Xenopus tropicalis: one gene and its partners. The protein of the gene in region 1 binds, or shares a complex with, the protein of each later gene. Links are inferred from orthologs where the notes say so. Each region holds a gene or a part of one and is shown on either strand. Other genes may lie near its edges. The genes, in order: smc4, ncaph and ncaph2.

Region 1 (4,066 bases):
GGAAGAAGGAGAAGCTTTGCTATTCCTCATTTGCCAGCCAGTGACAACACTGCTCCTTCAAACAGGGCTCCCCATTGGCCTTCTGAATACTGACAGCTGCAAAGAAATATTTCTGCTCTGAAGCAGCAAGCTGACTGATACAAGAGGCACAGGAGCAGTGCTAACCCAAATTTCTATAAAAGGAAAATCATCTATTGCAACTCTAGATATCAAATAAATGGTGCTTGTGCCACTGTGATATAGATGGGGGATTTAACTTGATGGGATCTATTGTATGCTGGTATTGAGTAAATATTTTAAAAGCACATCAGTCTGTATCAGACTAAGGGGTACATTTATCATGCTGTGTAAAAAGTCCCAAGGGCAAGCAATCAGCAATTAGATTTCATTTATTAGAAAACCAAAGCATCCGATTAGCTGCTATGAGCAACATAACCGGTAATGTTTTACTCCACTATTTACATTTAGGGGTATATTTATCTTGGTATGTAGTCTCCTGCAGAAATTTAGCTTGACTTGACTGGAAAATGAAGTGATGCATATGCATTCCCACTGGCAATTTACTTTATCGCTGGAAGGAATGCATTTTGGGGGGGGATTAGTCGCCCACATTAACTGAGATTTAACCACGGTGCTATTGCTCTTACTGGCACTTACATGGTTAAGGTAATTAGAATAGAATCTTATAGCCTGACTCTGCCCTTTCTATTCTATTTTAATTAAGCTTAAACAGGTCTACAGCAAAGGATAAGGATGTAAATATTTATTCATTAGCACAAAGTATATTATAGATGGTTAACTTCTTACCAACCTAAACATTATGCCTTCTGAAAACGGGTCTAGACTGTCTACTAATTCCAGCTCAGCATCTCCTCCCAGTGTCAGCATTTGGTAATTTTCTTTCAACTTATTTGTAATGATATTAAAGCCAGCCATGAATTCATTCAGCCTTTGTTTACGAAGATCTTCATATGCACGCCTAAAATTGTCCCTTTCATTGGTGATTTCATCAAGTTCAGCCACTCGTTGGAGATAGAGTTCCTCCTATTTAACAGTATATTGAAGTAAGGGAGAAGAGTTAGAGCTCAGAATTTAAATGGAGCATAAGAAACAGAGTTATCATCAAGTTAACATCTGGTTCAATTAGCACGTTTCACTAAAAACTAATTAGTTAACAGGCTTGCTTTAAATGCTATTTCTAGTTATATTCAAAGGATGTTCTAGTTTGTTGACTTTACTTGAGGCACATATACAGAACGCATATTCCCCATTAGTGCAGATTTCACACAGTTTAGAGAACATGGTCCTATTATTTTGAAAACATCTAGCAGTGTTAGTTATTATTTGGAATATATCACCTACACATGCAGTGAAGCCAGTCTGTAGGACTGCAATGTGATTGTAATATAAGGATTATAGCAATCTTTTGCACTGCACGGTCAACTAGTTATTTAGCCGATTCCAGCTCTGACTAAAGGACAATGGGCCCTTTTTTAATTAGCTTACCAGCAAGCCTTTCCTGCAGCTTCCTCCAGCAAAAGATTAATACGTTTGTATAAGCAAGCAAACAATGCAAACTTTGGTGCTTAGTATTGGTGAAGTCACAAAATACAGTTATCCAGTGATACTGAGAGCAAATTAAGTTAAGCCTCCCGCAATGTGCAGGCTACAACAGGGTCATTACTGGCTACACCAAAAATGATTTTTATAACTCATTCCTTGTGCCACTTTGTACACTATACAGGGATGCAGCACAAAAGGGCTAAAGTGTTAAGAAGAGATGCAGACATATGTTTTATAAACACATTAGGCAAGACCCTTTAAAAGTCTCCCTGGCTGAATAAACAATTTACTTCAGCATACTGGGCTTTTACCTGCCCTCAAGCCTGATATTACTGGTGCAAGGTGGTGTATGAAGTGATATACAAAAGTCAATATTATATATATCCTTTGAGAAAGGTTGGAATACCAGCCGAAACGTCAGTCTTTGTTAGTGCTTCAGGCTGCCAAAAAAACCAAAAACAAAACAAAAAAAAAAACCAACTCTAAAATGTACACAGATTGCAACAATTGCATTACTTTTTTCTTATACTCTGCTATAGCTCCAAGGTTTGGCTTCATCTCATGACTTTTTGCTTCCAAAAGTGCAATCTGGTTTATTATTTGATCAGGGTCTTTAATTGCTTCCAATTCCTCTTGTGCTAATACAGCAAGAACTTCCTCTGGATTGTCTTCAATTCTATGGAGACTTATTTTAGTTATCTGCACAAAATAAGTAAAAAGGATCATGTAACACAATGTACACAAGCTGAAACATTGTTGGATAGAGACAGAAAAACATCTGAAACCAAAAAAAGAAAGGGTAACATTACCTCTTTTTGCCAGTACTTAATTTTTGACTGATGTTCTGCTATGTGACTCTCTATCTGCTCAATGTTAAGTCTGATGTTAAGTGCTTCCTTCTGAAGGGCATGTTCCTTTTCCTGAATGGCTTTGATTTCTTGAAGCAAGTTGCGATGTTGTTCCTGAACCTCTGGGAGGGAGCCCTGAAAATACAAGAACAGAAGTGCTTTAACTTTCCCTTTCCTAATTATTGTACAGAATGGTGAAGTCTTGTTTTAGAACCAATTATTAATAGTAAAGGCAATCTATGCTTTCAGTACCTCAGCTTCTTTGCACTCATTCATTACTGCCGTTGCTTTCTCCTCCAGTTGTTTCAAGTCTTCAGTTAGCTCCTCTATAGTTTTATCATTCTCTACAATTTCCTTTTCAGTGCGTGCAACTGCCTCCTCTGACTTTTTAAGGTTTCTAGAGGAACATATGCATTTTCATTTAAAAACAACATGTCTTTCACAGTGCATTAAATACATGAAGTACAACAATCAACCTATTATTTGGCAAAGCCTCTCAATGACAAATTTATTGAACATTGATGAGCACTTTTAGTCTATGGAGTTTATTTGAGACAGTGCCCATTTGATTCCTAAGCTTGGTTTTAGCTTAAAGGACAAGTACAGCCCACACTTTCCTACAATGTGTATCAGTTGGGAACATTTTCCTCAACCAATTGGCATAATTTGTACTGCATATACCCCTACCTTTGCCAGCACTATCACTTTTTCCTAAAGCAAATAGAAGCTCTTACATGACACATGATCAGTTACATTTAAATCTGCAAACAGTATGCACACACACACAAATTTCATCAAGAATGCAGGCTCACACAGGTAGAACGGTCTTTGATAAAAAGTTCTGCTTTGTTTGAGCACTGTAATGATTAAGCTGAGCTGAGGAAAAGAGGTTAGGAGAAAAGAACAGGATATCTTCATTGGCTGCTAGAATGGAGGGTGTGTTATCTGAACTGAGAAAACGGAGCATGCCCAGGAGTAAACAGCCAATGCAAATTCCTAAGGGAAGGGGGTTACAGGAGGAGAAGGAAATCTTAAGGTCCCCATACACGGGCCGACTATAGCTGCCGATATCGGTCCCTTGGACCGATTTGGCAGCTAATCGGCCCGAGTATGGGCAGAACAGAGCTGCCTGGCCTGAAATTGGCCAGGTTAGAAAATCCGGTCGGATCGGGGACCGCATCGGCTCGTTGATGCGGTCCCCGAACCGACTGCCCCATAAGCTCAAATGTAATCCGATCGTTTGGCCCCAGGGCCAAACGATCGGATTATTTTTTTTTTAGTCCCTTGCTACCAGATATCGCCCACCCGTAGGTGGGGATATCGGGTGAAGATCCGTTCGCTTGGCGATCTTATAGTGTATGGGCACCTTAAGTGATTTAGGGGATGCTGCAGCCTTACTATTAACCATTTAACAACTATTTGTTTGTATTAACCATTTAACACTTGATACTGAAAGATTTTACAGGTTAAATTGTTGCGTGTGGGGTATACACATCCTTTAAGTTTAATCTTTGCATTATTATTTAGTTATAAGAGATATACTGTGCAGGATAATTTTGCTTCTCCACAGACCCCTGTTACAGATTAGTGGGGGGGGTGGAGTGTATAAGTTCTCACACTCCTGTGCATTAAGCATTTAAATTTTGGGTTATATC
Region 2 (5,011 bases), on another chromosome or scaffold:
CCAATGTGAATTTAATGAAAAATTTAAGTGCTTTAAAAATTTGTAAATGTAATGCAGTTGAAAGCAGCTTTTGCTGAACTCCTGGTAGTTACTTTATAAACAATGTTGCAAAGGCCTCATCCCCCTGAGACAGGTCTGTCAAGCTGCTGCCTTGTCTTACATTGTTTCAAAAAGTCACCAGGGCAGAGACTAGAAAAGAACTGGCAAAGACTACATCTAATTGCAATTAATAAAAAACCATTGCAAATTATGTTTTCTTTTATTAGGCAAAAATTATATTTTGGGTTGACTTATCCTTTAACTGCAAATGAACTTATTCAGGGTAGTGGATACACTACATATTTTATGTCAGTTTCCCTCATCAAGTCCTGAAAGGACTTGCATGATGAAAGAAATTTCTGTGGAGTAGTCTGTGGGTAAATTGGACGTAATACAGCTAACATGGCTCCTGAGATTTAATAACACTCTGAAGCATCAATAAGAAAGTTTTAAACAAAAATATGAAGAGACATATGAAAAGATATGTTACAATTATTTTTTCTGAGAGACAATAAGAGCTGGTTTTAATTTATATTGGGAAGAAAGCCACTCATTTAAACGAAACGTACACCCTCAAACCAATGAATGTAAAATTGCTCAGAGCAGGGTTCTACACAGCAAATTGATCTGAAATACTGCCCAGAGTGCCAGTCATGTCAGCAGAACTACCCAAGCAGGCAGCACTGTTATTTAAATCTAATTTTTTAGTGTATCTTGAAATCTAGAAAAAAAATATGTATTACTGTACAAGTGCTTAGAAAAGTGCTCTGAGCAGTGTAACATTAATTTGTTTTTGAGGGTTAACATTTTCTTTAACACTGTATCATCAGGCTTAAACTAGTGAAGCCATTGTTCACCAGCCTAAAACATTTGTTCTGATCTTAACATGACTTGCGTGTATCTTTTAGCGAACAGAATAGCAGCTCTTGGATAATGAATGAATATGTAATTCTAAGCAACTTTTCAACTTACATTCATTCAGAGATTGATGTAACTGTCTTTAACTACATGAAATGATTACTTTATATTCTAATTATCGCCTGATGGCTCTTGGGCTTTCATCAGCTTCTCTTATATATGTGAATTTCATCACTGTAGTTTTAAAGAGTTATGTAAAATGTATTCTGCTATATAAAATAAACAGATAACATTATGCTACCTATTTCCTGGTTGTCTGTGTCCTCAGTTGCCTGAGATTCCTTTCCTAGCCCACCAAGCACTTTGTAGACATCTGCATGAACAGCATCGACTCGCACTGCATATATTTTGGCACTGGCATCCAGAGTCCCAGCTGCAACCTAAAATCAAGTGTCAAAAGCAAAAGGCAAAATGAGCACTGAATGTGTGAAATTTTAATACTAAGCAACAGTTGCATCTGTGAGAGCCAAGTTCACTTACTTTAAAGTTAGTTAATTCGCTGTCTTTATGCTTCAAGATGTCACCCATGTAATCAATCAAATGCAACCCGAAAGCATTCTTAGTTGTTATTTTCTGTGGAAGAACAGTTTTACAAGGTCAAACCAAAGCAACTGAAGACCCAATAGGATAGTTAAGCTACAACATTGCTTACAATAAGATGGCTAAGCACAACCATTACAAAGTATAAAGCAAACAGCCCATGTTATCACAATACTGCTGACAGTAAAGATGATTAAAGGAGAACACATCTAACCATCTGTCCAAAAATAGCCTGCATATACAATATTTCTAATTTATCAGAGACTCTAAACTCAGCCTATGGCCACAAACTATGGGTCTGCCCTTATAGGTCAGCTTTAGACCAACAAGTGCATATTCTAAGGTGCTATAGATATTCTCAAAGTATAATAGAGAAAAAGTTCTGAGAAAGATTTAATATTGCTATAAGTAAAGCGTTAAATGTTTGCGCACCACTGCAGAAAAGAAGTAAAAATTACTTTGACATAGCAGGTCCATGTAAAGAGAAAAACAATTATTTTAACTGTATCATCCCCCAATTTTTCCCTTAATAACGTTAAAAGTAAAATGGTAAATAATTAATACTTCTAATCCTGCGGGAAAAATAAGTCATAAAAGTAAAAGACAGTAAACTGCGTATATTTTTACAAAGCAATTAACTAGAACAGTATTTCAGGAGAGACTTTTTCAGATTAAATTAGTAAAATGCTCACATTCTCCTGAGACAGCTTAATGCAGGTGGAATAATGATCTGAAATCTGCGTGTTGCTTAATTTGGGCAGTAGAGATGTTGGAGTATCTATTCCCCTGCTAAAAAAAACAAAAAAAAAAATAACACATTTATATTATGACATGAACATGTTTCTTTTTTGTAGAATTTCAACAAATACATAACCAATAATTGTCCAGGAATGTCTTTAATACAAGAGTTTTGTCTTTTACTACCACTTGAATGTGTGGAATTATTTTAAAAGGGGCTGTTCACCTTTGAGTTTAGTTTAAGTATGATGTTGACAACAGAGACAACTTGCAACTGGTCTTTATTTTTTATTTGTGTTTTTTTTTTTAAAATTATTCACTTTTTGATCAGAAGCGGTCTGGTTTGGAATTTTAGCAGTTATACTGTTGCTAGGGTCCAAATTCCCAGGGAGTGGTTTGAATTAGAGACTGGTATATAAATTCTTTAGTGATTTTAGAACTAGCCATACACACTCCTTCATTCAACACTAGAAACAACTTGGCACCCCCAGTGATTTTAACCTTTCTTTTAGGGATGCACCGAATCAAGAATTCTGTTCAGTATTCAGCCAGGGTTCAGCCTTTTTCGGATTCGGCTGAATCATATTTGATTCCAAAAAAATCACATGACTTTTTGTCATGTTAACACGGAAGCATATGCTAATTAGGATTCGGTTAGATACCATTGCTTGTTTTATTTCTGTTCTGAGACATAAGCATAAAGTCTCAGCATGTTAAGAAGGAAATGGAATAAAAACATACATATACAGAGCTTATATTCTGAAATGACAAGTGTGCCAACTTAGTTGAAACTGTCCAGCTTTGTATACAATAAACTACATTCCCTGCAGTAGCACTAATTTACTCCTAGGGGTTGGTGAGAACATTAGCTTCCTAAGGCAATATGGATATAGTCAATTTTTTTAATTTAAATTTTCTGTTCTAAGGCTCATGGGCCTCACATCTGGATTGGTAGCTGGTTACCAAGGTATAATTACCCCAGGCAGCAGTTTGAATGTCAGAATGGGAACTATAGAGCCTGAACAAAAAATAATCAATAAAAAAATAAGAACAACAATAAAATTGAGTGACCCAACAACTAGCTGGCGTTTTTATTTGCAGACTGTTAATAAACAGAATAGGAAGGCTAATAAAACACAAAAAAACGACCATATGAAAAGTAGCTTAGAATAGGTCCGTCTATAACAGTGATCCCCAACCACTGGCTCGTGGGCAACATATTGCTCACCACCCCCTTTAATGTTGCTCTCAGCGGCCTCAGAGTAGGTGCCCATTTTTACATTTCTGGCTTGGAGGCAAGTTTTGGAAGCACAGAGACACAGTTTTACTCCAAGCAGAGCCTCCTCCAGGCTAGCATTCCCCATGGGGCTACCATATAGCCAATCACAGTGGCATCCCCAAAGAACTTTTTTTCATGCTTGTGTGGCTCATTAACAATTTTTACATCTGAGTGTGGCTCACTAACAATTTTTACATCTGAGTGTGGCTCACTAACAATTTTTACATCTGAGTGTGGCTCACTAACAATTTTTACATCTGAGTGTGGCTCACTAACAATTTTTACATCTGAGTGTGGCTCACGAGTAAAAAAAAGTTAATGTACCACTATAACACTTCAGCTGAAAGAGTTTATTTTTTTGCCCCTTAAAGCAGACACACAAACTAGATAACTGGTCAATTACCTTTGAGCTGGTGAAATGGCAGATGCAGGGGAATCAGCATTGCTAAGCTGCAGGTCAATGACCCTGGACATACGCCGAAGTTTCCTTTCCCGTTCATCATCATTGCTAGTAAAGTTCTGCAGAGTGGGAGTACCAGCCGCACTGACGGGCTGAGGCCTAGTGGCTGGGGACAGAAAAGCACTGTCTGGGGTTGCTGGCTTTCTGCGCACTCCTGACTGAGGAGTTGATGTACTCATTTTGTCTTATCTAGAAAATACAAAGAATTACAAGCTACAACTTATACAGAGATTTTGTTGTTTTGACAAATATCAGCCTTCCTTACATATACAGAATGTATCCTTTTACAAGCACACAGAATACCCGACAAATGTAATGGCAATATAGCATTTTGCTTGTAATTAGATGTTTAACTGGGCATTGCAAAGATCTCTTATTGTCATTAGTGTCTTTAACTAACAGTGTTTGCATTTTCGCTCAGTTAAATTGCACTTCAATGCCTATACAGGTCAACAAAGATGTGCCCAACGTATTGTAATGCATACAATGAAGCCTGGAGAGATCTTGGCTCCTGCAGACACACATTGTAGGTTTCTTTTTTTTAGTGCCACCACAGGTAGGCAGGGTCTTGCTCTGATCAGCTAACTGTACTTCACACTCTGCTATAATCCTAACCCTTGGGGTGAAGACACACAGAACTACTTATTAGCAGCTACTTGTCACGGCTACTAAACGCCAGAAAATACCCCGTCATAGAAAATACTGAGAATTGCCTATGCTAAAACACACATAGAGACAGTTATCAGTATATGATCAGCATTGTCTGTTTCTGTAGCCATGACAAGTAACTGCTTCTAGTAACTCTGTGTGTCTTTACCCCTTAAAGGAACAGTAACACCAAGGGGAAGATATATTAAAATGTGAGTTTACAGCTTAAAGGAACAGTAACACTAAAAAATGAAAGAGCTTTAAAGTAATAAAAATATAATGCACTGTTGCCCTGCATTGGCAAAACTGGTGTGTTTGCTACAGTAACACTACTATAATTTATATAATAAGCTGCTGTGTAGCCACGGGGGCAGCGATTCAAGCTGGAA
Region 3 (5,011 bases), on another chromosome or scaffold:
TCTCCCCCAAAGCAGCTGCCCCATCATCATTGAGGTGGAGCCCATCCCAAAGAGCCTGTAGCCGATTGAGAAATCAGCCCAGTACTCCAGAAACCCAAAGCCCTCCTCCCTGCACCAATCTCTCATCCACGCATTAATCTCCCTAAGCTTAATGTTGCTCGTGGCACAGGTAATATCTCTGAGAAAATTACCTTGGAAGTCCTTGCCCTCAACTTCTCCGTTAGTTTTTTAAAATCATTCTTGAGGACTCCCCCCCCCCCCCCCCCTCCTCTAACTTTGTCTATATGCATGCGGGTGGCGATGTCCCTATGGTGGTAACTATTGATTGTGTTATCCATTGACAATGAATTAAATTAAGACTAATAATTGAGTGCGGCATTGGGGGTAATTCTTCCCTATATCATTTTAGTCTCCAGCTCACGGGTCCCTATATAAAATTATGACACAAATAATAAGCAAAACTTGAAAAGACTATGGCCAATCAATTAGATCTTGTGGCCAAATGCACACTATTTGTCAATTGTTCTGAAAATCTGAATAAATGGTCAGCTTTGGCTAGCTCCCTTGCCAAACTTCAATTGTAGTTGATAAAACTCACGTGTAGAGGAGAACCATTTCATGAAGTCTTGCAGCTTGCAAGGTAGCTTTCGCTTTCTCTTGTTTGAAGAGAGGTCTTCTGCAATACCTCGAGGAAGTGTATAGTGTTTACCTGACAGGATAGGGGAATGGGGTTAAAAGCAGCCAAAAAAGGGTAAACAGTATCCACAAATAATATTTTAAATGCCTGAAAGACAAGAAAACCACTCTTAGACCACCTTTTTTAAATGGCTTTTCTTCACAGGACTCAAAAGGATCCAAACCACACCAGGGGTCAGAAGTTTCATTCTAAAATAATAGAGAAGCACAACAAATTAATGGCACAAATCATCACATCTCTTTAAAGCGCAACTATTGTAAAAATGAAAAGAAAATTATATAACCTTTAACTCATGGAAACACACTTTCTAAAAATAATCAGTATAAATTCTGTGCCACTTTTGTAATAGTCATATTCCCCTATGAGAAATCCTTCTCTTATTCTTTCTTGCAGGAGTTGGAGTCAGATTTTTAAGTTAGGTCTAGTACATCTGAAAACTAACTTGTTTTTTTAGAACATATGCAGGAGTCTCAATTATATTTTGATTGTTTCCATGGGATGAATCTTATATTAAATTTTCATTATCGGAATAATTTCCCTTTAAAGGAAGAAGCACAGGGCCAGCTCTACCTTAATAGCTGAAGCAGGTTTTTGTTCAAGTCTCTCCCGAAGAACGTAGCCTCTCTCTTCCGTCTGCATCTGTGGAAAGCACAAATTAAAATACATAAAGCCAGGGCAATATGAAAACAAAGCATGCGCATTAACAAGTGACTGTCCAATACAATGCACAGAAAAATAGATAAATATAATCACTTTCAACAAATCTATGCAAAGCGAAATCCAAATAGTATGCAGTATGGGCAAAGTCTGCAGAGATTTTAGAAGATTGATTTTTTTTTTTGGGATGGACAGATAGAGAAATAAAAAAGATGCTGAGAGGTGCAGAAATAACTCTGACTTAAGATTGCTGCTGCAGATTTAATCAACAGCTACCTGCACCCCAATCTAAAATTAACTATTTATAAAATGCCAAACATAATTGGCACACCTTTCGCCGCTCAATGTGCTCTGCTTGCTCCACTTCTCCATCACCGGCTTCATCGTGATCATCAAGTGGAAGAAATCCAGCCCCATCACCATTCTCTGCTGCAGGTGCTAAAGAAACAAAATTGACAACATACCTACTAAAACTGAGAGGAAAACACTGGGCTACTCCAGCTCAGCATAAATAAAGGCTTTCAAGTACATGACAGCCCCATCTAGAATATGCTGTTCAGTTTTGGTCTCCAGTGCTCAAACGGGACAAGTCTCCTGCCCCATTTTCCCTTACTATGCCCACTACCTCATCTATCCTGTCTACAACAGAATTAGCCGCTGCACCCAAATTATGCAAATGCATGAAAATTTTTAGACTTACATAGATTTCTTACAAATGAAGCCTCCATGGCTCCTTTGGAGTTTTATTTTTCCTAAGATAGATTAAAGGGTAGTTTCAAAATGTCCTGTTTAGTAGCCATTTATTTGGTCACTTATTTTTGTAGTTTATTACTTTCCATTCTCTTCTGCTCCTTTCCAGCTTTCAAATGGGCATCACTGACCCCAGCAACTCAAAAACTAATGCTCTGTGAGGCTAAAATGATATTGTGGTTACTTTTAATGACTCACCTTTATGCTCTCTCCTATTAGTATTTCAGTCTCTTGTTCAAACTGCTGCCTGGTTGTTAGGGTAAATTAGACCCTAGCAACCAGATAGCTGCTGATATTAAACTGGAGGATTGCTAAATTCATGTGCTTTATTGTACTTATGCTGGCCGTACTTTCTACCTCAACATTACTGCATTAGTAAGGATTCATGCACTACTAAATTAAGACTTTAGCAGGGCTTCATGATAATTGTGTGTGTTAAGTTAAGCAAATATATTCATATCTGAGAGGCCATCAGTCTTCCACCTAGTAGAATACAGCAGCTATAATCTGTATGTATGTGCGAACAGAACCTAGTATTGGTGGCCTACATTTTTTATACTTTATGACAGTAAAGGGCACTTAAAGGAGAAGGAAAGCCTAAGTCACTTGGGGGGGGGGGGGGCAAAATGTTAGGCACCCCCAAGTGACTATAATCGCTTACCTTGTAACCCCGGGCTGGTGCAAGAAAACAGCACCAGCCCGGGGTACCTGTAGCGATGCGCTTCCTCCTTCGTTTAGCTGCGACTATATGATAGGCGCATGCGCAGTAGAGTGAAAAGCCGACTTCTCTGTTAAAGTTCGGCTTTTCACTCTACTGCGCATGCGCGCAGCGATACAGGAAGGAGGAAGCGCTGCAGGTACCCCGGGCTGGTGCTGTTCTCTCTGAACAGGGGCACCAGCTGGGGTAAAAGGTAAGCGATTAAAGTCACTTGGGGGTGCCTAACATTTTGGCACCCCCAAGTGACTTTGCCTTTCCTTCTCCTTTAACATGGGTATTAGAATCCACATTAGAGCTTAAATCTGGGATGATAACTATGTCTTACCTCCTTCATCAGAGAACTGTAGCACCTGCACAGGGTCAGCACAATCTGATTTCTCTGCCTCCATATTATCATTCTCACCTTCTGGGATTGCATTCTGTTCACCTAAGAGACAGAGATTCTGTGAAGAACCGCATTCAAGAAGTACTATGTTCAATCAAAACCATACATTATTATTTTATAACATGTGTCTGAAAACACAGAAGAGGTTAATTTCATATGATAATCTCACCCATGTACTATATGTACTCATCCTCTAGCTGTGCAGACAGACATGAATGGTATTTGACCCCTATTTATCAGCACTTCAATAAGGTTTGTAGAATACAAAGGATTTAGTGTGTACTATCATAAATATGGGCCTGCTGCAATGCAGTTTTCTAGCAGCGGAGGACAGGTGGGGCCTAAAGGTAAAAAGCACTGTAATATAATTATTGTTTCCCAGGGGAGTCTCACATATCTAAATTGCACTGTATGGCAGACTACCATTTACCTCAGTGATCCCAAACCAGTATCTTGTAAGCAACATGTTGATCTCCAACCCCTTGGATGTTCCTCTCAGGAGTTTAGAAAAAAAATGCCTTTGGTCAGCACTGGTGTGCTAGCAGGACAAAAACAGCTAGACTTTGCACAGCATTTTAGAAAACACCCTAATAACTTTTAATGGTCCTGGCCTAAATGCATTTTTTTTTTAAATAGTATAAAAAAAGGTTACAGTATACAAGCGTTCAAGTATTTTTTGTAGTTTCCATTCATTGCTGTTTTACCACTGCCTGAAGCAATGGGATTCTAACAAACATTACTGATCTGAAACAATAATCCTCCACTTTGTACCTTGAGCAAGGCTGGCTTCCTCATGATGCTGGATATGTTGAAGGAACTGCATGGGGGACTTTCCAGCCAGTTCTAGCATAAATGCTCCACTGGGGTGAGGTGTGCACGTGTTCATTCGGAAATCCTTCCTGCTGGCTAAGACCTCCCCTTTACGGCTGTGTAGATAAGAATAAGTTATTTCCAGGCAAGAGCATGCAGAATAATTACATTTTTATAAGCAGCAGCCACCATGCTGCTATTGCACTCTAGTGTAGAACCAGAGGGATACAATATTATTATATATTACTATATATTACAATATATATATATATATATATATATATCATATGCCCCATTCTATCTGTCATAGTCGTGCTATAAGGTGTTTTTGTTTTGATACAGTATATGAACATTGGCTTATTTGCCTATTTTTATGTTACATTTATCCTATATGTCTTTACTCTATAATGTCTGTACTTTTATTTGTAACACCTTTCTATACACTAACCTCTCCTGGGTGGATGTTAGGCTTCTCTCTTTCGCTTTGAGACTATATCAGTAAGCAGCCTGAATCCTCTAATGTATCTAATACATTTTGATGAGACTATGTTGCAAATTTGACATGAGCACCTGGTTACCTTGTTACTTAAAAGCCCTTAGCCTAGCTTTGTTAATGGTTTTCTATATTTCTGTTCTTATGGTGCGGATACAATTTTTCCGCCTACCGCATACTTATTTCGTGCAATATTATTTTTTTTTTCTCAATAATTTACTCCAGCCCTTTTGATTATGCCTTGTGCCTACAACTAGGGTGAGACATCACTAGGAATGCCGAGTTGGCTCATGTCCCCTTTTGTACAGGGGTACTATAACCACTTGTGCGGACCAGTCTCTGCCCTCGGGCTTGTTAGCCACATCTCCACTGTAATACTAATTTTGAAGACCCAAAAGTTGGCATCTCCATTCTTGCCCTCCATCTGGCTAAAACTAACATTTGCTCCACAGATGTGATGTGTTACAAGCATATGCTGCCTGTTACCACACATCGATCGAG

The links.
Region 2: smc4 (region 1) and ncaph share a complex: the UniProt entries of both Homo sapiens proteins name them as parts of the condensin complex. The link is inferred for Xenopus tropicalis from reciprocal best matches to the Homo sapiens genes SMC4 and NCAPH.
Region 3: the proteins of smc4 (region 1) and ncaph2 are in contact, whole or in part, in a cryo-EM structure (PDB 9F5W), measured with the Homo sapiens proteins. The link is inferred for Xenopus tropicalis from reciprocal best matches to the Homo sapiens genes SMC4 and NCAPH2. Residues at the interface, in NP_001002800.1 of Homo sapiens: Ile100, Leu101, Gly102, Pro103, Ile112, Gly113, Pro114, Ser117, Gln1151, Met1152, Leu1155, Phe1227, Lys1228, Ser1231, Ile1232, Phe1235, Tyr1236, Glu1239, Gln1240, Asn1253, Asn1254, Phe1256, Glu1257, Arg1261, Gly1264, Ile1265, Tyr1266, Lys1267, Thr1268, Tyr1269; in NP_689512.2 of Homo sapiens: Arg494, Ile495, Trp498, Glu499, Thr501, Val502, Leu505, Leu506, Gln509, Glu510, His512, Phe547, Cys550, Arg551, Met553, Leu554, Leu557, Gln558, Ala560, Asn561, Tyr563, Val565, Glu566, Ile567, Gln569, Leu573, Glu574, Ala576, Val577, Asp578.

The regions. Positions count from the first base shown.
Region 1 is NC_030681.2:114,766,115-114,770,180, forward strand, and holds part of smc4 (structural maintenance of chromosomes protein 4), read right to left. Parts: intron 2,809-4,066; coding exon 2,664-2,808; intron 2,547-2,663; coding exon 2,373-2,546; intron 2,263-2,372; coding exon 2,080-2,262; intron 1,045-2,079; coding exon 812-1,044; intron 1-811. UniProt on the Homo sapiens protein: Central component of the condensin complex, a complex required for conversion of interphase chromatin into mitotic-like condense chromosomes.
Region 2 is NC_030679.2:125,116,643-125,121,653, reverse strand, and holds part of ncaph (condensin complex subunit 2), read right to left. Parts: intron 4,164-5,011; 5' UTR 4,154-4,163; coding exon 3,918-4,153; intron 2,287-3,917; coding exon 2,190-2,286; intron 1,531-2,189; coding exon 1,438-1,530; intron 1,338-1,437; coding exon 1,199-1,337; intron 1-1,198. UniProt on the Homo sapiens protein: Regulatory subunit of the condensin complex, a complex required for conversion of interphase chromatin into mitotic-like condense chromosomes.
Region 3 is NC_030679.2:89,417,396-89,422,406, reverse strand, and holds part of ncaph2 (condensin-2 complex subunit H2), read right to left. Parts: intron 4,134-5,011; coding exon 3,979-4,133; intron 3,250-3,978; coding exon 3,148-3,249; intron 1,793-3,147; coding exon 1,686-1,792; intron 1,337-1,685; coding exon 1,268-1,336; intron 886-1,267; coding exon 816-885; intron 710-815; coding exon 599-709; intron 1-598. UniProt on the Homo sapiens protein: Regulatory subunit of the condensin-2 complex, a complex that seems to provide chromosomes with an additional level of organization and rigidity and in establishing mitotic chromosome architecture.